Elephas maximus indicus: one gene and its partners. The protein of the gene in region 4 interacts with the protein of the main gene of each other region in a pairwise test. Links are inferred from orthologs where the notes say so. Each region holds a gene or a part of one and is shown on either strand. Other genes may lie near its edges.

Region 1 (7,214 bases), on a different chromosome or scaffold from region 4:
ATCTCCTCACCTTCTCATCTTCCCTTTGACTGAAAATAAGGCTCACTGGTTACAAATTACTCAGACCTTTAACGCCTATCTAATAATTTCCATCATTTTTGAAATAACTGACCAGTTTCTCTTCCCAGTCTCCTTACTATCCCACAAAGATAAATACTCTTCCACCAGCACAGATTTGTTACCCTCACTGAGAAATTCTCACCATTCTTTACAGCTTAGTTTAGTTCACCTTCTCTATAAAATTTCCAGGGGCTACTCTCAATATGTATAAAAAAAACTGTGTGTAAAATAATTTAGTACGTAATTATACACTGTTACGTTATCACAAAACTTTGACCAGGGCACACTCTTCTACCCACATCTTGTGTAAATGCTGTAGTTCTTATTCTGGCCAAGCTAACTCTAAGACTGAATTATTGATGTTGCTTTGTGGGTCTTCAGAGCTATTACACTTTTTAACCATTATGATTTTGACATGAGTCATTAAATCAAGCACATTCAAAAAATTATAATGTTATTTTTTAATTACATTAAACCTGATGACCAATTTACAAACTTGTGCCTATAATATATTGCCTCTACTTTAATCCTTCTAACAAGTTGATAAAAGCACCATAACCAATCACACGTATACAGTGGTTCAACAGTTTTATGTGTTTTTGAATAGCTGCTTAAAGACAATCCTGAATTGCAACTTAGTGTTAGATGGTAAAGAATTTAAAATCCAACTTGCTACTATATCTCATCATGCTGACTTTTAAAAGGATCTGACCTTCTAGATCATCTACAGTATGTGAGAAGTGTTAGTCTTTACTTTTTTTTTTTAAATATTCTTTTTTGATATCATAAACAAACCACACTGCAATGCCTTTTCTTAATTAAAAGGCAACACTTTAGATACAGGGAATTTTAATTAGACTGACATAGTTATGAGCAAAACAATAAAGTGGCCATAACTAACTTATCTCCAACCCTTGTGTTTAAATAGGCTGATGACTACAAACTGAAATACAGTCTTGCTCTGTTCCATTAGACAGTGAAGAAGTTTCCCCACTATTTAAATATATCCATGTCACCAATTATATAAATCTAAATATAAAATTAATCTCTTATAGGTTGTGAGATGGCATTTACCATCTTTGTGAAAAATCGACCACTATTAATCCAATTTAGCCTCAAGTGCAAACACATCTTTAAAAGGGAAAAGGAATACCACTTGCTGAACTGAAATTACTATCAAAATTTAAAAAGTTAGATCGTATTTATTTAACCACAGCCAATCTTATTTACTCCAGGAATGCCCAACAAAAACATTCTATCAGCCATTCATGATCTGAATTCTGGTGTATGAGATCACTTTAAATACGGTACATGTAAAAAAAGTCAAGAGACATTACTATTGTAATAAATAAGGCAGTGGCCAACTATTACTCATTAGTAGCTTGCTTGAGATAAGCTATCAAGTCTGCCCTTTCTGCCTTCTTCTTAATGCCAGCAAAGATCATTTTTGTTCCAGGGATGTACTTCTTGGGATTCTCCAAATACTCCATCAGTGTGTCCTCTCCCCAGGTGATACCTATGCAAGGAGAGATTCACTGAGTAAATATTTCACATTCTTGATAAAGGGTTTACTGTAAGCTAAAGTCATGCAATTGTACTTTTGGTTATTAACAACCATACCCCTCTTACCTTTGTTCTTATTGGCATCCGTGTAAGAGAATCCAGGGGCTTGACCAGTCTTCCGCCCAAACAAGCCGTGCAGATTTGGCCCAGTCTTGTGCTTGCCTCCCTTTTCCACTGTGTGGCACTGGGAACATTTCTGAACAAAAATCTTCTTGCCCTTCTCGACATCACCCATTTTGAATTCTAAAAGTGAATGAAAGCTCCAAGTTAGTAATTCTTCCCCCAAGAAACAAATACAGTGGAAACCAATGACCACTCCAGTCACTTAATTATGAATCCATTGCTACTCTATGATGTTAAATACCAGGTTGAATCTTGTTTTACTTAGTACACTCCCAACAGGCTCTTTAATATCAAAACACTGTTTAGAAAAAAAAGACTCAAACACACACACTTCTGTATGTGTGTAAGGGATTTAAGATTAAAGCCCAAGTAAGCAAAATGAAACCCATTTCAAGCACCAGTTTCAAGATAGCAAGTCAAGGTCACAGAAGTATCACAATTCTGAATTAGGGGCAGGTGAGGGCTCTGCGAGGTTCCCCCCAGGGACATGCTCACCCTCCCAGCTCTGGGATCCCCGGGAGCCATCACGAGGTCACCCATACAGGCCGCTTTCAAGGAAACTAAGATGAAAACCGCCTTACTGCGATGCCTCAGCAGGTTAACGGGGGCAGCCACTACTGATCTGAAAAAATGATCCCTTACGAAAGGAAAAGCAGCTTTTATTTTCTTTGAAGGAAGACGAGAAGTGCCGCTGTCTCCCTACTCCTCCTCACCGGGGAGCAAGTCTTGCCTATTTTCAAGGTCCCTCGGCACCGAAAACGCGACGGCCTGCGTCTTCTTCGGATCCGCATTCAAGCCGCCTTCGGGCCTTCAAGGCTTTGGCCGAATCCCTGTTTCTACCTTGATGGGGTTCCGCTGCCATCCAGCCTGGCCCACTGGGTTCTGCCTGACCACAGCCCCGGGTCGTCACTCCAGGTCCTGCCTGCCCCACACGGGCTCCACCCGGCAGTCCCGGACGCGGACCTCTAGCCGCCCGCGCGCCCGCCACGTAGGTGTGTGCCCCTCACGGCTCAGCCTCCTACCCGCTGAGCCTTCCGGGGCCCCGTGCTTACCACTATCTCTTCGCGCGCAACTCGAAGGTCACCGCTCAAAAGCCGGACGTCCCGCTCTCTAACTCCAAGGACACGCCTGTCCGGGACTATGAACCGGTGTTGGTGCAACCAAACCCGCTACGCCCTCCCACGTCCCGGCGTGCGGCACGGCCAGCAGCTCCGGGGTGACGTCAGCGCGCCTGATTGGCTCCAGTCTACCCGGCTTGCCTCAGGGACTTGCGCGCGCCTGCCGGCTAGCAGGGTAGGCTGTGCCGCGTGAGTGCCCTATGTCTCGAGGCCTCACTTGCCTGGCCTTTACGACAGGCCATTGAACGTACGACGTAAAGGTTGTGCCGGAAGGGGCTGAAAAGGCGCACGTGGCTTTTGTGCGTATGCGTACATTGGTGCGGCTCGTGGAGCTGAGTCGCAGAGGTGGATCTGGGGCTAAGGAAACGGGTGTTCGGCACGTGACGCAATACGCTTTGAGGACAGTGTTTTGCCTTCTCAGAGGGAGCCGCCCCAACTTTGACTTACTTAGACGTCTCCTGGCTGCCATCCTTTAAGCTGGCGACCGTTACCCAGACTGGGTCATAGTTCCACAGCTGGCGCCAGCAGCACCTCAGACGGCGGGTCTGGAGCCAGAAGTTACACGATTTGGACATGATCCTGTGTCTGTTTTTTTCCACCTCCACGCTATTACTTTAAGTTATCTTCTTCCAAATCTTCCTTTGATGGTCGCCCCAAGACTAGGGAGGATGCTGTAATTGCGGCAGGGACAAGACTATAGCCCTGAACCCTCACCTGCAGGCTTTTCTACCAACTTCCTTTCCTCCAATTTGTGTGCGTTCCGTGGAGGGTGCGGGCAGCATCTAGGAAGAAACATTAATTTTAGATCATTAGAGGATTCTTGAAGAGCTCTGGTGGCACAGTGGTTAAAGTGCTCGGCTGCTGACCAACCAAAAGATTGGTAGTTTGACCTCACCAGCAGCTCTGCGGGAGGAAGATGTGACAGTCTGCTTTCCTAAAGATTGACAGCCTTGAAAACCCTATAACCCATTGCAGTGGAGTTGATTCTGACTCATAGCGACCCCATAGGACAGAGTAGAACTAACCCACATGGTTGCCAAGTCACGCCTGCTGTATTCCAAATGCCAGTCTTTTGATTAGCAGCCGTAGCTCTTACCCAGTAGCAGTTAAACTTCATCCTGAAGTGTCGCTATGAGTCAGAATTGACTCCAGGGCATCGGATTTGGTTTTGTATTTTAGAGGATTTTTGGAAATTTCCATCCTTTCTAGGTAAAGGTCATGTTAAAGTAAGCTAATGAGGTTGGGGCTATATTAGAAATGCAAGTTTGATCACCAGTACTGCTGCTGTCAGTGGAATCCCATTCATGGTGACGTCATATATATCCAGAGTACAACTGTGCATAAGGTTTTCTATGGCTGTTTTTCGAATTAAAAAAGTAAAATCCAGGCCTTTCTTTTAAGGCGTGTCTGGGTGGACTCGAGCTTCCAACCATTTAGTTAGCATCCAACCAAAGTAACCATTTACACCACTTGGAAACTCCACAGTTCCATAGCTCCCAGTCATACTTTTCCTCCAAAACTGGCTCCCCTTCCCAACGTGCTCAGTTCTGTCACTTGTGAGTTTCTTCTCAACTCCTCCCTTTCTCCTCAAATTCAGCTGCGAAGTTCTGATAAAATTTTCTCCTTTCCTATATTTAAAAAACTCTTTTACCATGGGGTCAATTCTGACTCATGACAACCCCATGTGTTTCAGAGTAGAATTGCATAGGGCTTTCAATGGTTGTGAATCCTGGTCTTGCAATGGTTAAGTGCTTGGCTACTAACTGAAATATCAGTGATTCGAACCCACCAGTGGCTCCACAGGAGAAAAGGCCTGGTATTCTGCTTCCATAAAGATTATAGCCTAGGAAACCCTATGGGGCAGTTCTACTCTGTCATATAGGATCAACTCAATGGCACAGAACAGTGATCTTACAGAAGTAGATCACTAGACCTTTCTTCCATGGTGTCGCTGGCTGGATTCAGACCACCAACCTTTTGGTTAGTAGTTGAGCGCAAACTGTTGGCACTGCATACTCTATATAGCACTGCCACATTCGTCCCATCAAGTGTTTATTGAATAGCATATTATGTGGTAGGCACTTGTCTAGGTTCCTGGAGTAAATCAGTGAGGACTTCTTCTCTAGTGGAGCTTACATTCTAAGATCTTTTCTCCCACTCCCAACTTAAGCAGTAGATAGTAGAAGGTTGACCTAGATTACCTTAGATCACTTCCAAACCACTGGTTTTATGATTTCTGCTCAGACTACTCATCCTTCTGTTTGACTGGATTATTTCTGTTGTTTTCTGTCTCCTGACTTCAATTCCCTCTCTGTAGTCTCTCACACTGCTGCCACAGTTTTCCTATAAATCCGAGCAGAAATCAAAACACTTAATTCAAGACCCTGTGGCTTTTGGAGGGGACCAAGATAGAGACCATTTCAAGAATAGATTTGATGCATTGAACACTAATAACTGAAGACCCGATGAGTTGTGAAATGACATCAAGGACATCACACATGAAGAAAGCAAAAGGTCATTAAAAAAAAACAGAAAAAAACAAAATGGATGTCAGAGGAGACTCTGAAAGTTGCACTTGAACATCCAGTGACTAAAGCAAAAGGAAGAAACAATGAAGTAAAAGAGCTGAACAGAAGATTTCAAGGGATGGCTCAATTGTTGTAGTTGTTGTTAGGTGCCGTCGAGTTAGTTCTGACTCACAGCAACCCTATGCACAACAGGATGAAACACTGCCTGGTCCTACACCGTCCTCACAATTGTTGTTATACTCGAGCCCATTGTTGCAGCCACTGTGTCAGTCCACCTTGTTGAGGGTCTTCCTCTTTTCCGCTGACCCTGTACTTTACCAAGCATGATGTCCTTCTCCAGGGACTGATCCCCCTTGACAGCATGTCCTAAGCATGTAAGGCACAGTATTGCCATCCTTGCTTCTAAGGAACATTCTGTTTGTACTTCCAAGACAGATTTGTTTGTTCTTTTGGCAGTCCGTGGGTGGCTTGGTAAGACAAAATAAAGTATTATAATGAAATGTGCAAAGACCTGGAGTTAGAAAACCAAAAGGGAAGAACATGCTTAGCACTTCTCAAGCTGAAAGGACTGAAGAGAAAATTAAAGCTTTTAGTTGAACTATTGAAGGATTCTAAGCAAAATATTGAACAACACAGGAAGCATCAAAAGAAGATGGAAGGAAAACACAGAGTCACTGTGCCAAAAAGAATGGATCAATGTTCACCCATTTCAGGAGGTAGCATATGATCAAGAATTGATGGTATTGAAAGAAGAATTCCAAGGTGCACTGAATGCAGTGGTGAAAAACAAGGCTTCAGGAATTGATGGACTACCAATTGAGAAGTTTCAACAAACAGATGCAACGCTGGAAATGCTCATTTGTCTTTGTCAAGAAATTTGAAAGACAGCTACCAGGCCATCCAACTGGAAGAAATCCATATTTGTGTCCATTCCAAAGAAAGGTGATCCTCCCAGAATGTGGAAATTATCAAACAATACCAGTAATATCTGTAAAAATGCCATGGTGGGGGCATCTGACCTCCACTAACTTCACAAGGGGGAGAGAATCATTAGCATCAATGACCCAAGGCTGATTCCTGTGAGGCAAGGGTGGGGTGGGGTTGGGGGTGGTCCTCCAGCCTTTTTAGCAATTCTGACACCAGCCGTCCTTCCCACAGCACTCTCTACTTCTTTGCTGGGTTCAGTATTTCATTGGAATGGCCACACAAAACTTACAGACCATACTAAAAGTTACATGAGGTTTATTAGGGTACTAACAGGTTACAATTCAGGATACAGTTCTTTGATCAGGACAGCCTCTTTCTCAGCTGTGCCCACATATTGGCCTCTGTCTGGTCCTTGACCTTATGACCCCTTGGGCCTTTTGGACTGGCCTGGCCTCTACCCTGCTCAGGCAAGTGTTACAAAGTCCTTTTAGCTCTGCTGGTGAGTGCCAAGAGGCACCCCACTGCACCAGGAAGCGTCCTGCCCAAAGGAGCTCAGCTCTCTCGCTCAGGGAGCTGGGAAGCTCACTGCATTGTCTCCTGCTGGTCTCATGGCTCTGCTGCTGCTGCTTCTCTGCCCCTGATTCTTGCCATCTTGCCATCTCTGGTGTTAGAGCTTATTCTGTCTGTCTCCTGGGTCTAGGAGGGTCTCAGTGCAGGACCCAAGTCCAAAAGACACGCTCTGCTCCAGTCTCTTCTTTTTTGGTGGCAGTCAAGTCCTCCTCTGCTGTGGAATTGGCTCTCTTTTAGGCCCAATGGGATGGCAAAACTGCCCAATCCCCATGTTAGGGTTCCATACACCTTATTTGCATGGACTCTAGGCCACAAGGTGGCCATG
Region 2 (7,572 bases), on a different chromosome or scaffold from region 4:
AGGTCCGTTCTGAGTATGAATTATTCCCTTTACAGGACATCTGTGGCAAACACACATACACAGTGCCTTTTAAGAGACAATCTGTAGACTATGTAGATGCAAAGAAACAGGTATGTAAAAAGTGTTGAATTTTAAAAGCTGGCCACACAAAAACAAAAACTTTGTTAGAACAGCATCATTCACAATAGCCAACAGGTGTAAATAATCCAAATGTCCATCAACAGATAAGAGGATAATAAAATGTGGTCTAGCCATACAATGGAATATTATTCAGCAATAAAAAAAAATGAAGTACTGATACATACTATGACATGGATAGTCCTTGAAAATATGCTAAATGAAAGAAGCCAGACACAAAAGCCCACATGTCATGATTCCATTCACGTGAAATGTCAGAACAGGCAAATTCACAGGGACAGGAAGTAGATTAGTGGTTGCCTAGGGGTGGAGGTGGTAGTGATGACGGCTGCACAACTCTGTGAATAAACTAAAAGCTATTTTACACTTTAAATGGGTGAACTGTATGTATGTGAATTAAATTGCAATGAAACTGCTAAAAAAAAAACCCAAAACTTCAGGCCAATTGTGTCTGCCATAGCAACTAATTTCAACGGGCTAAATGAACCAAACAGACTCCCCATTTTCCAAACTGCTCTTGCTCTGGAACGGGGATTGGCAACCTCTTTCTATTAAGACCCAGACAATAAACTACTCAGCTCTGCTGTTGTAGTGAAAGCAGACAGAGACAATATGTAAATGACTGAGCACTGCTTCATTCCAATAAAACTTTATTTACAAAACTTATAAAAACAGGTGGCAGGCTAGAGAATCACTGGTAATCTACCCAACCCCCTTATGAGGAAGACAAGGCAGGTAATGCCTCTGTGGTAGTAAGGGCTCTGACAAGCTACATGACTTGTCCAGGTGACTAACAACTTGTGAATGGTGAGTCCTGACTTCATTTGGTGTTTGCTGCCTCTCCAGAGCATCCGCAACCCCCACATCCAGAGTCAATGGACTTATGACAAGCTAGTGCAGGGACCTAAACCCCTTTTGAAAACCTTCAACAGTATGACCATTCCTAAAGGGTCAGATTCAATCTCCTTAACCATTGAAACCTTACCCAAGAAGGCCCATAGAACCTCACCACTGATAACGTCTTTGTACAGCATGCACAGACCTGATTTATGGGTGTTCCTCCCACTGTACCTCATTCATTCTTTCATGATTGACCACCTACCATCTGCCAGGTACTGCTAAGAGCCTAACTAGTAAGTCTGCAGTAGAAAGGACAAGGAGAGGATAGATCAAGTGCCGCAGTGATGGAAAGCAGGCACCCACAACCTAAATCAACCCTTTGCTTTTGCCAACGTGGTGAATGCTTGAGCATGTCTCCTTTGCTCATGCTGTGCCTCCCTAGAATGTCCTTCCTTCTTCCTCTTTACTGGCTCATCATGGCCCACCTCCAAGCCCTTCATCTGGGCCCTGATAGCTGAAAACTCGGCTCCCCGCTGCACCGAACCCCCTTCCCTATTTGTATAAATTTATGGAGCTTAAAAACTGAAAGGACCACAGAAGCAGCTTATTCCTTCAGCTCGCAGAAGAAAATGAGGCTCAAAGGAAGTAGTAGCTTGCCCAAGATAACACAGTGCCTCAGACATAAGAACCCAGATTTGTACTCCAGCCACAATGTTAAACTGCCCATGTTCTGGACTTTCTAAAGCAGGCAGTGTATGGCATAGTCCCTCAAGCCACACTCCCTGTCACCTCTGGACATATTCTAGCTACCCATCACTTCTTCCTCCTCTTCACCAAACTCCTTCTCATCTATCAAGGCTCAGGTTAAATGTCCTTTCACTCAAGGCCCTTTCTAGGCCCTCAACCCCTCCCCAAGATGGGACTAGGTGCCTCTTTGTGTTCTCAGTTTCTTTGCACGTCCTTTATAAACCTCTATTTAATCAGAATACTATAATCCCCTGCCCTCACCAAGATGGGGACCCCTCTGTCTTGAAGACCACTGCACCTTCTGCCCTAGCATAGGAAAACCAACAGCCCGGAAAGAGAATGTTATTGCTCTTCATTTACTGAAGCAAGTCACTCACACTCTTACCGTAAAACTTAGCCCCTGCACAATGCAGGAGTCACTACCTTCTCCTAGGCTTTATCAGAATCGTAGGTGGAGAAAGGAGGCACTTGGTGTCCACTTCCGTTTACCAGAAAAGGCTGGGGGTGGGAGGGGTTCCGGTAGGGCGCCTAGAGTGAGGGCCAGGAAATGTGGTGCAGACAAAGTGGCCAGGAGGGAGGACTGCAGGCCTGGGTTCCAGGCCCTTCCTGTGTCAGGTCCTGTGCTAGGCGCTGGTGACACAGAAAGGGGTCAGACAGCCGGCCTTTACAGGCCACAACCTCTCACACAGTCTGCTCAGTGACCCTGGTGAAGTCTTGATCCTGAACCCAAATGTTCTCATCTGAAAACAGGGATAACATCTGTTTTCGTTACAAGCTTTGAGAAAAGTGGCGCGGGCCAAATGTCAATGCTTGCCTTGTGCGTTGCAGCGCTGCGTATCCTCCCGGAGTCCCCTGCCCGTCTGTCTGCACTTTCCCGGCCTGTGGCAGGGTCTGAGCCCTCAGCCCACCCTAACCGAGCTCGGAACCTGGCCCAAATAGGATGCGCCCTGGCCTCACCTGCTGGGGGGGCGTAGGCCCGGGCCCGGAGCTCAGGGGATGGCCCCGGCACCAAGGGGTCGATGGGGCCACCCAGGGGCCGTTTCAGGAGGTGGCGGCCCCAGTCCCGCAGCTGGAGGCAGCTCCTCCACATTGCGCCCGAGGGTCTCCGAGGACGCGCAGAGCGAAGCCTGAGTGCAGCACACACTGAGCGCAGGGAACCCACGACACGCGCGCGGGATGTTCGGAAACTTCTCTCACCGACTCCCAGAGCCCTCAGTTGCCCTGGGCGCCGCCATCTTCTTCGTGACACCACTGGCAGGCTGTCGCAACCGCGCGCAATCAGCATCACAAATGCACGTCGCCCCGCCCCTCCGCGCTGCGCCTCGAGAAGAAGACTACAAATCCCAGAGGGCCGATCGCGCACCCCGCCACGTGTTTTCTCCGCCTACCAATGGGCGGGCGCGCCGCGTGAGCCTGAGCTCGGCGCCCCGCGAGCCGGGGCCAATCGGAAGGGTCACTGTGTGTGTATGTGTGTGTGTGAGTGTGTGTGTGGTTGTATGAGCGCGCGTGTGCGTGTGTGTGTGTGTGCGTGTGTGTGCGTGCGCGCGCGCGCGCGCGCGCGAGGGCGAGTGGGGGTACCCGGCGCAGCGCTGGGAGGCCCTGCTCGCAGGTCCCGGGGTCCCGGTGGCGGCCGGAGCTCTGGTCCGCAGGTGGCGGGCGGGTGGTGCCCCCAGAGGCCACCCGCGCGTGCGCGCCCGGCCCCCCTCCCCTCCCCCTCTTCGGCTCCCGCGCGGCGGCGGCGGTTCCTCTCCCCTCCCCCAGCCCTGGCTCCGGGGGACCCCGCGATGCCGGTCCGCACCGAGTGTCCCCCGCCGACCGGTGCCTCGGCCGCCTCCGCGGCCTCCCTCATCCCACCGCCGCCCATCAACACGCAGCAGCCCGGCGTGGCCACCAGCCTGCTATACAGCGGCTCCAAGTTCCGTGGCCACCAGAAGAGCAAGGGGAACTCGTACGACGTGGAGGTGGTGCTGCAGGTGAGCGCCGGCCGGCGACTGCGGCCCAAGGACCTCCTCGCGGCGCTCACGGCCCGAGCCCGCCCGCGGTCCTCGAGCTTGCGGCCGCAGATCAGGCCCTGGCCGCCGGGGCCTCTTGCGCCCGGCGCTTCACAGCCGGGACCTGCCCAGCTGGTGTCTCAAACTCTGCGAGCCCTAACCCTGACCTGCCCCCTAAGACTGGGACCCACTCCCTCAGACATGGAGCCCCTTGACCAGATACCCCGTGACTGTGACCTAACCCTCTGGGATCCGGAAGCCCCCCACTACTTGGACCAGGTTACTTCCTACCCGTGACCTGTCTTGTCACCCCTAGATCAGCTCCCACCAATCCCTCTCAGAACTCCTTATTGGATTCATCCGAATCGGGACGCCCCCTCCCATGGCTGGGCCCGTGACAGTTTCTCCCAGACCTGAGACATGTCCCCCTTTCCTCAGTCCCAGGAATCCTCCAAGATCAGACCTCCGACCCCGGGGTTCTCCTCCTGCTCTGATTTCCTCCTTGGGTGAACTCAATCTGACTCTTAAGCCTTCCTCTTATTAGACCCTGAGCCTGAGAGCCCCCAACCCCACAACTGATTGCTCAGACCCTGGCCCCCCTCAAGACCAGACCCTCACACCCTGGCTGCGTGCTGTGGCTCCTTATAGTCTGTTGCCTCTTGTACCCCACCCTCTGCTTACCTACTGCTGCAGTCTCTTGCTTCAAGCACCCAGCTCTTCACAGCTGCCTCCACCTCCAGGCCTCCTGTCCCAGGCCTCTCATACCCTTTACCCCCATTCTTTGGCCACTTCCAATCTGCTCCGCCTTCCTGGCCCTGTACTCAGACCTCCTTCCCACCCCATACCTGAATCTTCCTCATTCCTTGCTCCAGGGGAACCTCTTTCTGTGTTCTTAATATTTACCCACACAGGCACAGGGCTTCCTCCTACAGTCTCTGATACCTGCGTACTGGCAAATCTAACTCACCCAGTTCTGTTTCTCACACGGATTATTTCCTTTCCACGTTCATCCTCCTCCCCCCATTTGACCTGGATCTCTGAGTACCTGCTGCCAGGTGCTGACCAGCTTTGGAAGTATACCTTCACCTCTCCTGGCCCTTCACTCTACCTCACCCCTTACACGCAAATGGTAGCACACTTGACATTTTTTCCCAGTCAAGGGATGGTGATGGTGGTGGTGAATACGTCTTTCCATCTTCCCTCCCCACAAAACTGTTCCTCCTCTATGTCTGCCTTTGCCTCTGGACCCACTTTCTCCCTCCCTTTGCCCCCTTTTCCTTAGTCTGTTACCCCACCTCCTAGGCTGTTCCTAAAAGCCCCTCCAAGTATCTGTCCCTTAGACAGCCCTTACGGAGAACTCTGAGGCCCTGGCATGATGTACTCCTGCTTTCACGAGCGAGGATAGAATGTAGAGTGTGTCCTTTCTTCATGTTCACCCATTGACCTTTTTTATTTTGAATCTTAAAGAGCATCTCTTCTGAACAAGTAGGTCTGCCACCCAAAAGACAATGGGGGTACATTTTTCTTTCTGCTAACTATAGCTCCCTTCATCAATTTCTTTTTTTCTTATTGTTCTGTGGGAATAAATTTTTTCTTTTTGATCGGGAAAACAGGATTCTCACATTAATTATGTCTTTGGTCTGTGAACCTAAAACCCTGCTGTGAGCTGTGATATTTATTATAATTGAAAAACTAGTGTGGTTGACATCTTTCAGCCTCAAAATTATATTTCTCATGAGGCAATTCCTCTTATGCTTAAAATGTGAGAATTTAGTGTGAAGGTACAAGCTTTTTTTTTTTTTTTTTTGGTAACCATAAAATTCTGGAAATGAGATCCTTGGTGTGGGTCATGTTTGGAATCATATTGAATTTGTGCCCATTTTTAAAGTTAATGGTTTCTGATGTTTTAGGGGGTAACTTAAGTGTCAAAACGAAATCTGCTTTGGTTACTTCTGCCATTAGTGTGTTGTTTCTGAACTCCTGTCAGGTGCCAAGTTTCTTTGTGAACCCACAAGGCTGAGTGAGTCAGTGGGCTTTAGAATCTGATGTTTGGGGGAGACTTGTGCTCTGCTGACAGGTTTCAGGGCAGCACAGAGAAGACATCCCTCCCAGGGCTGGCAGCTACTTGAGTAGGATGCCTGGTGGGGGGGCTGTCATCATGTCAAGGAATGCTGCCCTGCATCTGGATTAGTGAGCTGCTTGTTTGTCATGGGGACTAGTCAGTGGCATGTAAATTGCCCCATCTTCTGGTTTTTCAGCCAGGACTAGTTTCTTGGACTCAGCTTCTCAGAATACTTCTCCTGCCTTTCATAACTCAGCTACTTTGTTTTTAAACAGTTTTATCAGGATATCATTCATATACCATATGGTTTCACCCATTTAATGTGTACACTTCAATAGTTTTTAGTATGTTCATTGAATTTTGTAACTACCACCCCAAACCTGTTGCTGTCGAGTTGATTCTGACTCTTAGTGGCCCTCTAGGACAGAGTAGAACTGCCCCATAGAGTTTCCAAGGAGCACCTGGTGGATTTGAATAGTCGACCTTTTGGTTAGCAGCCATAGCATTCAACCACTGCGCCACCAGGGTTTCCAACCACCACCACAATCTAATTTTAGAACATTTTCATTACCTTCCCCCACCCCCTGCAAAAAATCCATGCCCCTTAGCTGTCACCACCTCCCCCCACCCTTATTCCCCAGCCCTAGGCAACCACTAATCTACTTTCTGCCCCTATAGATTTGCCTATTCTGGACATTTCATGTAAATAGAATCATACTGTTTGTGGTCTTTGTGACTGGCTTCTTTCACTCAGCACAATGTCTTCACAGTTCGTCCACGATACAGCATGTATCAGAACTTCATTTCTTTTAATGGCTGAGTAATATTCCATTGTATTATGTACCACGTGTTCATTCATTCATCAGTTAATTGACACCTGCGTTGTTTCCATTTGAGCTATTGTGAATTGTGCTGCTGTGAATGTTCACATGCAAGTTTTGTGTGAATGCGTGTTTTCAGTTCTCCTGAGTAGGTACCTGGGACTGGAGTTTCTGGGTCAGATGGTAACCCAGTGTTTCACTTTTTGAGGAACTGCCAAACTGACAATCCAAACTGACTGCACCATTTTACATTCCCATCAGCAATGGATGAGGGTTCCAATTTCTCTACATTCTTGCCAATGCTTATTATTTGTCTTGTTTGTATTAGCCACACTAGCGGGTGGTTAAAGAGCTCAGCTGCCAACTGAAAGGTCAGCAGTCCAAATCTACCAGCCACTCCTTGCAAACCCTGTGGGGCAGTTCTTCTCTCCTGTAGCGTCACTGAGTCAGAATGGACTCGATGGCATTGGGCTTTTTAGTGGCTGTGAAGTAGTATCTCTTTGTGGTTTTGATTTGCATTTCCCTAACCCTGGTGGCATAATGGTTAAGAGTTCGGCTGCTAACCAAAAGGTTGGCAGTTCGAATCCACCAGGCACTCCTTGGAAACTGTATGGGGTAGTTGTGCTCTGTCCTATAGGGTCGCTATGAGTCGAGATTGACTCCATGGCAACAGGTTTGGGTCTGTTTAATGTGGAATGATCATCTTTTTTGTGCTCACTGGAGCACTTTCTTTTTTGGGATTCCGTTTTAAGGCATTCCTCAAACCTTTGTGAGGTCCTGACTGGATCATTTTGTCTTTATTGTGACTACTTTGTTCTTCCTCACCAACCAAGAAGCTCAGCATAAATGAAGCCCAGTCACTCTGACAGGGACATTAAAAAGATCAGCTGCTAGACACAGCTGTGCCAAGAGACCTTCTTGCTAAGCATGGGCCTTGTTATCTTTCTCATTGAGATGCTGACCTGTCGTGTGC
Region 3 (7,870 bases), on a different chromosome or scaffold from region 4:
CCAACTGCCTTCTATATAGCCGTTCTTAGATGACGCATGGGCACTTCAAACATCACATGTCATCAATGAACTCATTCTCTTTCCCTCCTGAGTCTGCACCACTCACTCTTTTCCACATTTCAGCAAACGGCACCACCATTCACCCAATGCCATACCACAGCCTGGGAGGCAGTCCCGCCTCATCCTGCACCCTCACCCCCAACACCCAGACAATTACCAGGTCCTATTCCACTTTGTAGAATATCTCTCAAATCCCTCACAGCCCTATCTAAACCTCGACCAGCATCATCTCTTGCCTGGGTTAATTCAAGAATCTTCTAAATGATCTCCATACTTTCAACCTTACTTCCCTCCAACTCATTCTCCACTCTGCAGCCACAATAACCTTCTAGAAATACACATTTGATTGGTCCTGCACTCAACATACTCTTCAGTAGTTTCCCATTCCCTTTAGGATAGTTTTAAATCCCAGGCATGGCCTCTAGGTCTTTTGGAGACTTGGCTCCTACCTACCTCGCCATCATTCATTAATCCATTCATTCAGCAAACCCTGAGTGCTTACTGTATGTAAGGCACAGTTCAGGGTGCTAGGAATAGATCGCTGAACAAGAGTAACACAATTTTTTGTCCTTGTACAGCTTACATTCTAATTGGAGGAGACAGGCAAGGAACAAACATAACAAGTAAAACATACTGGGTTAAAAGATGACAAGGGCTATGAAAATAAAGTTAAGAGTATAGTATACAAGTTGGAGTACAGTGGAGCAGAGGAGAGAAGGGATGGGGTGTTGCAATTTTAATTAGAGTGGTCAGGGTAGGCCTCTCTGAAAAGGTGAGTAACTGAGGAGGTGAGCCTACAGGCGTATGGGGACAGAACAGCCCAGGCAGAGAGAATAACCAGGGCAAAGGCCCTGAACTGCCATGTTTAAGCAACAATGAAGCCTATATAGGTATGATGAAGTGGACAAGGCAAAGGGGAAAATAGTATAAGAAGCCAGAACGGTAATGGGGGTGAGGGGGCTGAACAGATAGGGCTTTGAAGGCTATTGCAATCCTCTAGCTGTTGAGTTGAGAACGGACTGTGGGGGAGGGGTAAGAAATACTAATGAGGAGGCTCCTACAATAATTCAATTGCGAGATCTTGGCGGCTTGGAACAGAGTGGTACGGTGGTGTTCCAAGGTGGTAAGAAGTGGTCTGATCTAAATACATTTTGAAGGTAGAGTCAAACATGATTTCTCGACAGACTGGGTGTGGAGACAGAGAAGGGTCCAAGGTTTCTGTCTTGAACAATGGGAAGTTATCGTGCTACAAACTGAGATGAGGAAAACAGTGGGAGGCGCAGGTTTGGGGAGGAAGGTCAGGATTTCAGTTTTAACATGTTAAATTTGAGATGTTTATTAGATCTCCTGTAGCCCTGGTAGCACAGTGGTCAAGAACTAGGCTGATAACCAAAAAGTCGGAGTTCGAATCCATCAGCTGCTCCTTGGAAACGCTATGGGGCAGTTCTGCTCTGTCTTACAGGGTCGCTGTGAGTCGGAATCTACTCCACAGCAACAGGTTTATCAGGCCTCCAGTTGGAGATGCCAAGTAGGATATAATATTGAATCTGGGTTCCACTGAAGAGATCTGGGCTGGAATGTAAGATTGGGAGTAGTCAGCAAACAGATGGTGTTCAAACCATGAAGCTTGATGACATCACCAGAGAAGTATGTGGGTTTAACAGAAGTCCAAGGACTGAGCCCTTCAATAATTAGAGGTTGGGAATAACAGAGGAGCCAGCAAAAAAGACTGAGAGGTGAAGTAGCAGTAAAACAGAAGTGTGATGTCTTAGGCATAGCTAACCCTCAGTCATTTTACCAGTCTCAGCTAATAGGTTAATTTGGAAAGCCCTTCCTGACACCCAAGACTATGCTATTCCTTACTGGAGAAACTGTAGTTTCTTTATTATGGAATGTATTATTCTAGTTGTCTATTTAATTGTCTCTTTTCTAGACTGTTGGGTCCTGAAGTGAGACAGTGTCTACCTTGTTCATTTCTGAATCCAAACTCCTAGCACAGTGCCAGGCACGTAGTAAGCACCCCATACATATTTATGGAACAAAAAGATCATTGCTTAGGAGAACCTGGTCTAACTTTGGGGATGCCGGGGAGTAAGAGCTTAAAACTAGGAGTGGGCGTGGTGGGGCTCTGACTACTCTAAATTCGCTCCACGACTCGGCTCCTACTCCAATACCTTTGTAAGAGTGTAATATGGACTCCCTTCTTTAATTCCCAGTTATTCCTTTGCAAGTCACCTCTAAGTCGTCCATCCTCAACAAAGCTGTGTTCGTCGCACACTCTGCCCCCCACCCCCGCTCGCCCACCCGCCCGCCACCGCTCACCCAGCCGCGTGGTGCGCTCCCTCGGCGCCTTGGGCCTGTCTCCAGTCCCATGTTCAGTCTCCAGCTCCTCCTGCTGCTGCCGCGCTTGTTGCAAAATCCGTCGGGTCAGCCGGGGGCCCACATATTCTTCCTCTTCTTCTCTGGTCCTGCGGCCCCTCCGTTTTTCCCGGGCCCCCGCCCGCACTGCGTCCGCAGTCAGGATCTGCTCCGCCAGGGGCGCGTGTTTTTCCCGATCCCCAGCCCCGCGTGCCGCCTTAAATTTTGGCATTTTCCTCAAAAAAGTTACCGGGAAGATTTACACGTGGGTACCGAGGAGAGAAGCCCAGCGCGCTTGCGCAGTGAACTCTCAGTTCCCAAGAGGCAGCGCAAAGAACAGCGCGACCCCCAGCGTTCGGAGGCCAGAAGTGCCATCAGCTTCTCCCCCCCTCCTAAGAGAGCTCGTGAGCCTTGGAGCTAGATACTCGAATACCTTCATTGCTGGTTCCTCTATGGGGTGGCAGTCCGAGCCATGCTTTCGTAGCTTCATGGACCCAGGCCCTGGATGCCCAGCCAAATCTCAGTTTCCGAAGCTGCAAACCTAGGGGCGGGAACTGAGCGGATGACGTTGCTGGAGGCGTCACCCAGGGGTTGCCCAGGCAGGTCTCTTTCCTCGTGGCGCGTCGACTAGGCGCACTGTTTTTACGTAACTTCCGGGGCGTTTCCCTCGCTCGAAGCTTTCCTTAGTGGGTTTCACTTCATCGAGAGTGCTGAGTTTCAACTGTTTGAAGCTGCAACCCTCTTGGCCGGACACCATGGGAGTGACTTGGTAAGACTGCAGGACCGCTCGGGATTTTGTGGGGCGAGACTGGGGGTCGTGAAGGACCTTCGGAGCCTCGAACAGACCTGGGAGGAACTACCAGGGTCCGCCGTCCCCCAGGGAGCTTAGCAAGATGTCTCCGTGTTGTGGGAATGAGAGGCACACTGTGAGGGCTGCGGGTTCTCCGGGCCTGTTTCCTCGAAAATGAGCCCCTGGAAGGCGGCAGGTAAAAGGTTTTATCCCAGAAACCCATTAATGTTTGTATCTCCCTTTTTTCTTTCTGCCTGTGAGGCCATATTACTGCTAGTAATAGGACTTCAGCTTCGGAAGTAGCATCTCCGGCCTGGCACCTATCAGCAGGCAACGCTGGAGGGAGTGGAGGGTAGGCAAGGAGAAGACAGTGTTTCTTTTAGGTTTTTGCCTGATCCTCCCTACAGCCACAAAGTGCAGTGAGACCAGTTTGTGTTTAGTTTCATTTTCGCCGTTTTAATACCTCGGGTCAAGAGTAAAAACAAAGCCACTGAGAATTAGAAGATGGGCTTCTAGTTGCTTTACCTCTTCAGGACGTGTTTCCTACTATGTTGGCTTCCATGGTTGGTGTAGTTTCTATCGGCCTTTTATTTCTAACATGTTGTAAGTCTCAGTTGGAAGAGGGAAAGGTGGGCCTAATGCTCTCAGAGGCATTATTTCCAAAAGGCTTAGTTTCAGGACGTTTTAATGTCATTCCATTCAAAGACATTAAAACATTTTTCCAGTCAGAGGGGCTGGAGCCCAGAATATCTGAAGTCAGTGGCTGTAGGCTTCTCATATAAAAGTGTGTAGGAGCATTTTTTTCTCCTGGTAGCCCAGGCTCTTGAAAGCTTGCAAGTGATTATGCCCATGTTTCCCACAGTTGATATATGATTCTCTTCTGAGTCCTGTAGTGTAAGAGGGATGGGAATGAAAAGTTTGCAACATGGAGGCTTGGGACCCTGGAAACCCCTGACACTTTGTCTGTTGGGACCCTTACCTTTTTTTTTTTTTTTTAAGAATCCTAGGACTTTTGTTTCTCATAGCTTTGGTTCAGGCATTTTCTTTCTTTTTTTTTTTTTAAATAATTTTTATTGTGCTTTAAGTGAAAGTTTACAAATCAAGTCAGTCTCTCACACAAAAACCCATATACACCTTGCTACACACTCCCAATTACTCTCCCCCTAATGAGACAGCCCACTCTCTCCCTCCACTCTCTCTTTCCATGTCCATTTCGCCAGCTTCTAACCCCCTCCACCCTCTCATCTTCCCTCCGGGCAGGAGATGCCAACATAGTCTCAGGTGTCCACCTGATCCCAGAAACTCACTCCTCACCATTTTCCAACCCATTGTCCAGTCCAATCCATGTCTGAAGAGTTGGCTTCGGGAATGGTTTCTATCCTGGGCCAACAGAAGGTCTGGGGGCCATGACCTCTGGGGTCCTTCTAGTCTCAGTCAGACCATTAAGTCTGGCCTTATGAGAATTGGGGGTCTGCATCCCACTGCTCTCCTGCTCCCTCAGGGTTTCTCTGTTGTGTTCCTGTCAGGGCAGTCATGGGTTGTAGCCGGGCACCATCTAGTTCTTCTGGACTCAGGATGATGTAGTGTCTGGTTCATGTGGCCCTTTCTGTCTCTTGGGCTCGTAATCACCTTGTGCCCTTGGTGTTCTTCATTCTCCTTTGATCCAGGTAGGTTGAGACTCATTGATGCATCTGGGATGGCCACTTGCTAACGTTTAAGACCCCAGACGCCACTCTTCAAAGTGCGATGCAGAATATTTTCTTAATAGATTTTATTATGCCAGTTGACTTAGATGTCCCCTGAAACCATGGTCCCCAAACCCATGCCCCTGCTACACTGGTCTTTGAAGCATTCAGTTTATTCAGGGAACTTCTTTGCTTTTGGTTTAGTCCCGTTGTGCTGACGTCCCCTGTATTGTGTGTTGTCTTTCCTTTCACCTAACGTAGTTCTTATCTACCATCTAATTAATGAATACTCCTCTCCCACCCTCCCTTCCTCCCCCCTCATAACCACAAAAGAATGTTTTCTTCTCAGTTTAAACTATTTCTCAAGTTCTTATAATAGTGACCTTATACAATATTTGTCCTTTTGCAGCTGACTAATTTCACTCAGCATAATGCCTTCCAGGTTCCTCCATGTTATGAAATATTTCACAGATTCCTCACTGTTCTTTATCGATGCATAGTATTCCATTGTGCGAATATACCATGATTTATTTATCCATTCGTCTGTTGATGGGTACCTTGGTTGCTTCCATCTTTTTCCTATTGTAAACAGTGCTGCAGTAAACATGGGCCTGTATATATCTGTTCGTGTAAAGACTCTTATTTCTCTAGGATATATTCCAAGGAGTGGGATTGCTGGGTCGTATGGTAGTTCTACTTCTAGCTTTTTAAGGAAGCGCCAAATCGATTTCCAAAGTGGTTGTACCATTTGACATCCCCACCAGCAGTGTGTAAGCATTCCAGTCTCTCCACAGCCTCTCCAACATTTATTATTTTGTGTTTTTTGGATTAATACCAGCCTTGTTGGAGTGAGGTGAAATCTCATTGTAGTTTTGGTTTGCTTTTCTGTAATGGCTATTGATCGTGAACATTTCCTCATGTATCTGTTAGCTACCAGAATGTCTTCTTTAGTGAAGTGTCTTGATTGTCTTTTTGGTTTTTGCCATAGCTAAGTACCACCTGTAGTGTTTATTAATGTTTTCTTTTAAATCTGTTTTTTTTCTTAAACTTAGTTTAACCATCAACTTACATTCTTAGAGAGGTAGATTACTATTGTGGTTAAGAGCATAGATGTGGGAGCCAGGTTGCCTGGTTTGAATCTTGGCTACACCACATGTTAGATATGTGACCTTCGGCAAGTTACAGCAGCCAACAACAATTTCCTCATTTATAACAAAGAGAAAAGTAATAGTGCCTCATATACAGCTGTTCAAGGATTTGAAGAGTTAATCCATCTAAAGACCTTAGGATACTGCCTGGCAGATAGTAAGTAGATGGTTGGTAATTGTCACCTATCATCCTAAAGAGGAAGCAGTTTCACTCACCATAGAAGGACACCTTGGAAATAACATTTTTTTTTGTTGCATTGTATTAAATTCTCATAGATATTGTTGCCTCTCATCTCCAAAGATGATAAACTTGAGGTTGCTTTCTCTTTGTTCCTTGGGCTGTTGACCTTTCTGCAGTGATGGAAATGTTCTATATCAGTAGTGCCCATTGTATCAGCAGTGTCTAATACACTAGCCCCCAGCTACATGTGGCTATTGAGCCCTTGCGATGTGTGTAGTTCTTTAACTGAGGGAGTGAATTTTAAATTTTGTCTTATTAATTGAAATTTAAATATGCCATATGTAGCTAGTGGCTACTGTACTTATAGCCCAAGTTCAGAGTGTTAGAGAATTGGTAAAAGTGTACGAAGTCCAAACATACTTTATCCTTGACGTAGTCAGAACTGAAAGAAATGCACAGGGAATCTCTTTCTCATGACAGGAGTCAGTGTTACGGAATGCTCAGTCTGTGTGCCACCTAAAGTCTTCTCTTGAATGGTGGCACACGTACTACACTTGGGAAATGCTAGAGTGATAAGAAGTTCGCTGCACTGGTGTAAGAGTTCTGAGGCCTGTGCTTTGGTTTCTAGAGAAACTTTCAGGGATGAGGGGGTCAGGGTGAGTGGTCTCTCAGGTAACTCCTGGGCCTGATGAGCTATGATTTTGTGAGTGAGTGGCTCAGTGAGGCCTGTGTGTCTCTGGATACTGATGATTTTGGTTCTCTCTCTTCCAGCGTGTCCCAGATGCCTGTGGCCGAGGGCAAGAGTGTCCAGCAGACTGTGGAGCTCCTTACCCGAAAATTGGAGATGCTTGGGGCAGAGAAGCAAGGAACATTTTGTGTGGACTGTGAGACCTACCACACGGCTGCCTCTACCCTTGGCAGCCAAGGTCAGTGAGACGGGTCTGTAGGATGGTTGGAACCAGACTTGGAGCTGCTGGACGTTTGTGTTCTTTGAAGTCTGTCTGCTCTTCTGCTAAGAGTGGTATTCCTGAACAAGAACTTAATTCTTGGTCCTTCATGTCTTAGACTGGGGCTATTTTTGGCTGTTTTTCGTTTCAACTGTTTTAAAGCAGTGTTTCTCAAAGGGTAGGTTTGGTGACCAAGTGCATCAGAATCCCCTGGGTTACTTGTTAAAGGTGCAGATTCCTGGCCCCACTTACTGATTGACTGACTGGTGTTGCAAGTCTCGTAATCTACATTTTAAGAAGCATCCCAGAGGATCCCTATGTACTCTAAAGTTTAAGGAAGACTCCTTTCAGGCTCAGGAATCTCATGTATGATTTTTTAAGTACTTTCTAACACCTAGCCAGTGGCCTTGGCTACCTCTTCAGCATAACCTTGACCAACTTTTGTTTTAAATGCATTGCCTGATGAGATGGGGGTGTGAATGGTAGGGAGGGAAAGAATATCTTTGAACATGAGTTAGGGATCCTGGATTTTCTTGGTCTTGGCTCTGCTGTAACTTACCATATGACCTTGGACAGTTCCATAACACCGAGGTTAAGAGCAGGGATCGTGGAGACAGGCTCCTGAGTCCTGGCTCTGCCACTTCCTAAGTGTACAGCATTAGGTAAGTCTTCTAACCCATCTGTTCCTTGCCTGTCATTTG
Region 4 (7,554 bases):
CAGGGTACCTGCTGGGGCAGTACAAGCTGCTGACCTGTCATTCCTGCTTTAGCAATGCTTGGGAAAGGCAAGGAAATGTAAGCCCTGCAAATTGGAAACCGGGCCCTTTGTCACATGAACTGTCTCTTCTTTGGGTTATGGAAGAAGGGAGAGTATCTCAAGGTCTGCTTCATCAGTGACAAAACAGTTGTCTTTCCCTTACACACCAAGTTTTGCTGGGCTTGGAGCTCAATCTCCAGAGCGTTGGCTGTGCGTTTCAGTTCTAAGATCTCCGTCTGGCAGCCTTGCAGCTGCTCTGCACTGGACAGCTGCTGCTGATTCAGCTCCTCTGTCTGAAACATAGGCACTTTTAGAGAAAGCAAATGAATGAGGCAGGGATCTGGAAGCCTGCTATTGTGTTGGCTCCAGGTGCTGACCTGAACAGCGAACCATGCTTCCACGTCTCTGCGGTTGTTGGCGAGCACTGTTTCATACTGACAACGCATCTCATCCAGGACCCTGTTGAAGTCGGTCGTGGGGGCAGTGTCTAGCTCCACACTGAGTCGGTCACCAAGCTGTCCAAGAAGCAGGTTGACCTCCTGAAAGTGGAAATAGGAATGTCACAAAGTGGTGGGGGAAAAATCAATTTGACAAAATTCTACCCCAATGGCATCCTATTTCTATTTTTTGGAACAGTGGCTGGAAGTGTGGAATTTAGATTCAGGTGGTTTGAGTTTGAATGTCTTAGCGCTACTTATAAATGCCTCAGTTTTTCATCTGAGAAGTGGATATAATAATAGTTCCTTTCCCAGAGGTATATAAGAATTAACATACATATAACTTAAACAAGTCCTGGTACATAGTAAGCTCTCAATAAATGTTAACTACTACTATCATCAAACATGTTCAAAGAGAAAACCTTCTTTGTTACATCATTCAACTTTTCATTTTCCAACCTCCGCAACATGGCATTATCATACACTTCATGTTTTATGATTTTAAGTACAGAACATTTGGAATCATGGAGAAATATTGCATGGGTATCCCCTTTTCGAAATGGACTTCATAGTCTGCGTTTATCAGTCCGATTTCATACCTCTTGGGCTGAAGCTAGGGGTGTCATAAAGCCTCCAAGGGAAACCATTTGTGGAATTACTCAACTCCTCTGCAAAAACAATGGCAAGTGAAGAGTTTGATTCCTTCATAGGGCGCTGGCCAGAGTTGTCTCATTCAGAGATACACTGAAGTGATCAGGCCGAATAACAAGTGTGCCTCGAGGAATTCTGTTCCAGCTTAAGCAACATCAATCCAGATTCAATTTATACACTTAAACATAACATCTGTCAGTTTAACCCTGTCACCATTAGGGTCCTTTAGGGATTTTGCCACTGTCCTCACCTCCTCATGGCTTTTCTTAAGGCAAAAGAGATCATCCTTCAGGGACTCCACATGGGCCTCCAGGTCAGATCTGCACAGGGTCAGCTCATCCAGGATCTTGTGCAGGCCACTGATGTCAGTCTCTACCAGCTGGCGAAGGGACAGTTCACTCTCGTACCTTTCGCAGCAAAAGAGATATAGCCAATGCTTACTCTGCTGGGTCCTGTGCAAAGTACTGGGGCTGTACTGACGAATGATACATGGACTCAAGGGAGCCACATATCATAATTTCTTTTATATCCCAAATAATTATAAAATAGAGTTTTGCGAGAATTTTTAGCTTAATAATATTACACAGAGAGACCATTTGTGCCCAGTGAGAGTGTTTATGAGAGAAAAAGAACCAGAGAGAGGAGAGAAGGAGAACCATAAATCATTTTCAAATTCAAATTAAACTTACTTTGACCTAAAGTCATCAGCAGCCAGTTTGCAGTTGTCAAGCTGTACAGCAAGTCTAGAATTCTCTGCCTTCGTGCACAAAATCTGGAAAGTAAGTTATGTAATAAATGGCTCTTTGAAAGAATACTAGGTATCTATTCATTTAATTGCGATGTAACTATCCTTTAAAATATTTATAAGAAAACATAAAATAGCTTTCATCCTGCTTTTCAAATTAACAGTGTCACTCATGAAGAAAAATTGCCAATTTAACAACAAAACAGAGAAGTAAAATGGCTCGTTTTTTACGACTATAAGACATGAACACAGTTACATTTTTCTGTCCATAGTTTGTATTATGACTGTATAGATCCCCGTCCATGATAATAGAAATTCATCAGTAAAAGAAAATGGTTACTACGTGAAATTATATAATTAAAAAGATGGCATTTCATTTTCTATGTTCAAATATACAGTGTTATATGAGAAGTAATTTCAGATATAACACAGTTTTCCCTCGTTTTATAAATGATAAAGGTAAAGCCTATACATAAGCGACTTTATTATCATCACTCAACTAATTCGTGGCAGCACTGGAGCTAGTGCTGGTGTTTCCTGACTCTTAGTCCAGTGCTCATTCTACCACAACACATTAGCTCTTGGAATCCCCTCCTCCCTTGGTTTCCTTTCATGCCTAAAATGTCCTCTTCTAGTATAAAGATAAAGCAAATCACAGGTTGGGAAAACAAAGGTATTAGGGCAATGGGTTGCCAGACCTTTTGTTGGAGATCTTCAATGGTGTCAAAGTAACACTGATAATCAGGACACACCAGTGGGATTTCCTGTTCACATTGTTCTCGTATCCTGCATTCCAGTGCTGCATTCTCCTCTTCCAGGCCACGCACCTTCTCCAGATAGGTGGTGAGTCTGTCATTCAGGAACTGCATTGTCTCCTTCTCGTTGCTGTTGAACACCCCATCCTCACAACAAGGACAGTTCCCCACCAAGCATGGAATATTACAACTCCCAGCAAAGTAGCATGGTGTGAGGCAACCAGTTGACAAGCGAGACGTGGATGGGAAGGTGGGGGTCTGGCATCTGGTTGTAGCACAGGTGTTAGGGAGACAAGTCGTTTTCATAGAACGCGTTGAAACAGATGGGTGATCAGAAGCCCTGGCACCAGACTCAGAAGAGCAGCGAGTGGGAGAACACTCAGAAGGCATCCTACTGGAAGTGAAGAACAGAGACTAGCTGTAAAACCCAAGTTACCTGACTCCAAAAGTCTTCTTCCTTTCTGAGACTTTTATATAGTCCCCCCAAGTGGGTATTTGCAGACTGCTCTGGATGTTTTCATTAACATCGTTGGTGGCAGTTTTCTTAAGAACATTTCATTAGTCTTGTTTATTTACAGAGGAGGAGTTTTATGCCTCATAAAAGAGGGATAACTCCAGGTTTCTAAATCGGGATGTACACGATTTCTGTGTGTGAGTATAATAAAATACTTGTTTCAGAAAATCTTCACGGGGGACATTGCCCTTTTGACAGAATATTGGAAGAAAGAGAACATTTGGCCATTCAATAATTACAGATATAACTGATTACAGGTAAGGATAAGAGTATTTGCACTGATTTTGATCCTGTGCATTTAATATTGTGTCTCCTTTAAAAAGAATATTGCATATCATTAAATGTCGTTTATTTTTGCCACCACCATAAAAATATTCAGTGTGATTAGCAATCTTTGCAATGGTATTTGTGATCTTGACTTCACATTTGTGTTTACAGGGTAGAGGAGTGAGGTGTGTACTTGATTTGACGTGTATGGGTGCACATGTGTATATGCGTGAACCTTCTCTCTCTAGGTGAAAATGGAAAGATCACATTACATACCTTTTTTTGCCCTTTAGGTCGAAATATAAATTGGTTATCAGGAGTTGTCATCTTTGGTTTGCTGAAACTTGCCTTCTCCACTTCTCGTGTGTCGCATGTTTGGATCAGAGATAATGTTTCTTATTTGGGAATGTTGTTGTTGTGAGCTGCTGTTGAGTTGGCTCTGACTCATGGCAACCCAATATACAACAGAAGGAAACATTGCCAGGTCCTGCACCATCTTTATGATCTTTAGTACATTTGAGTCCATTGATGTGGCCATCTTTGTGTCAGTTCATCTCACTGAGGATTTCCCACGCCTTCCCCGGCCCTTCACTTTATCAAATATGATGTCCTTCTCCAGAGATTCGCCCCTCCTGATGACATGCAAAGTAAGGTATTTGAGAATAGCTGTAGGTTACTCAGGTATTTCTAATAAGAATAAAATATAAATTCTAAGTTATAATTTTTTAGGCTCTTGAGAGATCCTTAGAATACGGCAAGAAAGCTATAGAAGACTTTTCTTTCGGTGAGATTATGGAGTCTGCTTTATCTTATTAATTTTTCTGAAGACTTCAATTTTATGAAAATTAAAAATACTGGGACTTGGAGGATAAAAATTCTACGGTGTGGGTTCCAGGCTGACAATTCTGCTGGATGAAATCCCTGGTGGAATCCCTAAGGGGATGAGACTTGAGATAAAACTTTCCTGGATCCTGTTTTGTTTTATTTTTAAATGAAACTTTATTTTTATTTTATTTTTTAGATTTCTTATTGTGCATTAGGAGAAAGCTTACAAAGCAAATTGGTTTCCCATTTGATAGTTTGTACCTGAAGTGTTCCGTGATTTGGACTCTCTTTTCAATCTTACCTCCACTATGATCCATAATCTATTCCACTGTGATTGTGGTTATCTATTTCATTTTCAAAGGTGACACAGGGAAAATTTCCTCCAGAATCTTTGAGATCCTTATAGGAAAAAGCATTAGTCTGACAAAGTTAAAAATTTCATGATCCAGAACAAACTTAATTATTTCTAATTCTGAGCACTACTTCCTAGTTAACTGATAATGGAAAAAACAAAACCAGGGGACCTTCTATAGGATGGATTAAAGTAGTCTTTTAGGATTTTTTATTCACTGGACAGAGTTGGACTTGATTTTAGTGATTCTAAAATCAAAACTTATTTTTCAAATTCTTGGAGTGATTCACGACATATTGGTGCTGTTACGCAACAGCCGTTGAGTTCAAGGATTAAAAAGCAAATTAAAAATTACAAACATCCAAGGAAATATTACAGTCCCTTACTAACCTATAGTGTTGGTGGAGAATATTGAATATACCTTGGACTGCCAGAAGAATGAACAAATCTGTCTTGGAAGAAGTACAGCCAGAGTGCTCCTTGGACGCAAGGATGGTGAGACTTTGTCTCATGTACTTTGGACATATTATCAGGAGGGACTACTCCCTGGAGAAGGACATCATGCTTGGTAAGGTAGAGGGTCAGCAAAAAAGAGGAAGACTCTTAACAAGATGGATTGACACAGTGGCTGCAATGATGGGCTCATAGTGTCTTAGTTATTTAGTGCTGCTATATTAGTTATCTATGAGTTGGAATCAACTTGACTGCAATGGTTTTGGTTTTTGGTTTGGCATATTATCTAGTGCTGCTATAACAGAAATACCACAAGTGAATGACGTTAACAAAGAGAAATTTATTCTCTCACAGTCTAGGAGGCTAGAAGTTTGAATTCAGGGCACCAGCTCTAGGGGAAGGCTTTCTCTCTCTGTTGGCTCTGGGGGAAGGTCCTTGTCATCAATCTTTCCCTGCTCTAGGAGCTTCTCAGCACAGGAACCTCAGGTCCAAAAGACACGCTCTGCTCCTGGCATTACTTTCCTGGTGGTATGAGGTCCCCGTGTCTCTCTGCTCAATTCTCTCTTTTATATCTCAAAAGAGATTGATTTAAGAAACAACCTTGTCTTGTAGAGTGAGTCCTGCCTCATTAACATAACTGCCTGTAATCCTGACTCATTAACATCATAGAGGTAGGATTTACAACACATAGGAAAAATCACATCAGATGACAAAATCGTGGACAGTCATACAATACTGGAAATCACAGCCTAGCCAAGTTGACACATATTTTGGGGGGATACAATTCAATCCATGGAACATAGCAACAATTGTGAGGATAGTGCAGGACCAGGCAATGTTTCGTTCTATTGTACATAGGATCGCTATGAGTCAGAACCGACTCGATGGCACCTAACATAATCATTAACCTAATGAGTCAAGAGAAGAGATCTTTGAAGAAAGTCCATGTCTTGATTGTTCACCATAGGGTCCACTTAATTAAAATGCAGCAATGTCATTATTTTAAAGTAACTGCAGGTAAAATAAGACATATTTCCTTCTGTCTCAATCTGATTTCTATTTGTAAAATATTGATTCCTAGTTATTATATATATATATATATATACATCATATATACACACAGGGAAAGACTATTTATTTTGGCCTTGATTAATTAGTGCTGTGTTATATGATGATCTGTATCTATAGTTTTCATCTTAGAATATGGAAATTGCCCAGCATATGTTTTATAGCTTATCATCCTCACAGTGAGGAACATTAAACCATACCAAACCAGTTGTTGTTGAGTTGGTTCCAACTCATGGCAACTCCATGTGTTGCAGAAGTAGAACTACACTCCATAGTGTTTTCAAGGCTGTGAACAGTTGGAAGCAGATCACCAGACCTTTCTCCTGGGGTACCTCTGGATGGGTTTGAACTGCCAACCTTTCAGTTAGTAGTTGAGCATTTAACCATTTGTGCCATCCAGGGACTCCATGTGAACATTGGGAATAGAGAAAAATAAATAGAAAATTTCCTTTTGTAACATACTCTTACCCCAGAATATAACACCTTCTGCTGTGATAATCATTTTTTTATTTTTATCACTTTCCACTTAGGAGGTCCAAAGTTTGATATATGACCTTCCTCAATCTGGTGCCAGTTTGCCTTTTTAGGCTCTTTCCTGTTACTCTCTTTTACAAACACCAGACTCCGACCATACCTCCAGGCTTTGCAGGTCCTGTTTCCTTGGTCTAATCCTCTTCTACTATCTCTTACCTGGATGAACTCACAAGTCAAGACTCAGCTGAAATGGCATCCAACTGCTTCACACTGAGATGGAGGCTCTTTTTATAGCAATTTGTACTTACCCCACCTAAGGCAACTGTCACATTACATTGCAATTTTTTATGCATTTTAGTGTTTATCAAGGTTGTGATCCTTACTCTTTTGATGTGTCCTTTCTGGAACATCAGTTGAATGTGTGAGGTGCTCAGAGAGCTTTTTCCATTCTGTCTGGATTGAAACTTTAAAGTCTATTAGTACTGAATATTTTTGTTATTGTTGGTTGCCATCAAGTTGATTTTGACTCATAGTGACTCCTGTGGCAGAGTAGAACTGCCCATAGGATTTTCTAGGCTGTAATGTTTAGGGGGAGCCCTGGTGGCACAGTCGTTAAGAGCTCAGCTGCCAGCCAAAAAGTCAGCAGCTTGAATCCACCAGTCACTCCTTGGAAATCCTATGGAGCAGCTCTTCTCTGTCCTTTAAGGTCGCTATGAATTGGAATCGCTCTATGGCAACGAGTGTTGTTTTGGGTTTTTTGGTAATCTTTAGCGGAGTAGATTTCTCCTGTGGAGCCACTGGGTGGGTTCGAAGCACCTACCTTTTGGTTATCAGCTGAGCACTTAACCATTGCACCACCAGGGCTCCTTATTAATACTGAATGGCTGCTGATATTTCCATTCAGCTCTTAATGCCCCAGCAGCCACTCTCTGCTAGGCCTCATGGAATTTCGTCCTATATACATGCAACCCAGT

The links.
Region 1: the proteins of KRT40 (region 4) and cytochrome c interact in binary tests that used the Homo sapiens proteins (3 or more experiments, as listed by UniProt). The two-hybrid records come from large-scale screens. The link is inferred for Elephas maximus indicus from reciprocal best matches to the Homo sapiens genes KRT40 and CYCS.
Region 2: the proteins of KRT40 (region 4) and ATPAF2 interact in binary tests that used the Homo sapiens proteins (3 or more experiments, as listed by UniProt). The two-hybrid records come from large-scale screens. The link is inferred for Elephas maximus indicus from reciprocal best matches to the Homo sapiens genes KRT40 and ATPAF2.
Region 3: the proteins of KRT40 (region 4) and BYSL interact in binary tests that used the Homo sapiens proteins (3 or more experiments, as listed by UniProt). The two-hybrid records come from large-scale screens. The link is inferred for Elephas maximus indicus from reciprocal best matches to the Homo sapiens genes KRT40 and BYSL.

Annotation. Positions count from the first base shown.
Region 1 is NC_064826.1:86,186,993-86,194,206, forward strand, and holds cytochrome c, read right to left. Parts: upstream 2,933-7,214; 5' UTR 2,799-2,932; intron 1,867-2,798; 5' UTR 1,859-1,866; coding exon 1,690-1,858; intron 1,577-1,689; coding exon 1,428-1,576; 3' UTR 520-1,427; downstream 1-519. UniProt on the Homo sapiens protein: Electron carrier protein. The oxidized form of the cytochrome c heme group can accept an electron from the heme group of the cytochrome c1 subunit of cytochrome reductase.
Region 2 is NC_064820.1:214,307,223-214,314,794, reverse strand, and holds the start of ATPAF2 (ATP synthase mitochondrial F1 complex assembly factor 2), read right to left. Parts: upstream 2,902-7,572; 5' UTR 2,816-2,901; coding exon 2,683-2,815; intron 1-2,682. Other genes in the region: GID4 (glucose-induced degradation protein 4 homolog), read left to right, coding at 2,902-3,185, 3,335-3,698. UniProt on the Homo sapiens protein: Plays a role in the assembly of the F1 component of the mitochondrial ATP synthase (ATPase).
Region 3 is NC_064819.1:106,347,095-106,354,964, reverse strand, and holds the start of BYSL (bystin), read right to left. Parts: upstream 3,016-7,870; 5' UTR 2,651-3,015; coding exon 2,383-2,650; intron 1-2,382. Other genes in the region: MED20 (mediator of RNA polymerase II transcription subunit 20), read left to right, coding at 3,174-3,187, 6,994-7,148. UniProt on the Homo sapiens protein: Required for processing of 20S pre-rRNA precursor and biogenesis of 40S ribosomal subunits. May be required for trophinin-dependent regulation of cell adhesion during implantation of human embryos.
Region 4 is NC_064837.1:48,073,156-48,080,709, forward strand, and holds the start of KRT40 (keratin, type I cytoskeletal 40), read right to left. Parts: upstream 3,018-7,554; coding exon 2,571-3,017; intron 1,900-2,570; coding exon 1,817-1,899; intron 1,535-1,816; coding exon 1,378-1,534; intron 579-1,377; coding exon 417-578; intron 333-416; coding exon 207-332; intron 1-206. UniProt on the Homo sapiens protein: May play a role in late hair differentiation.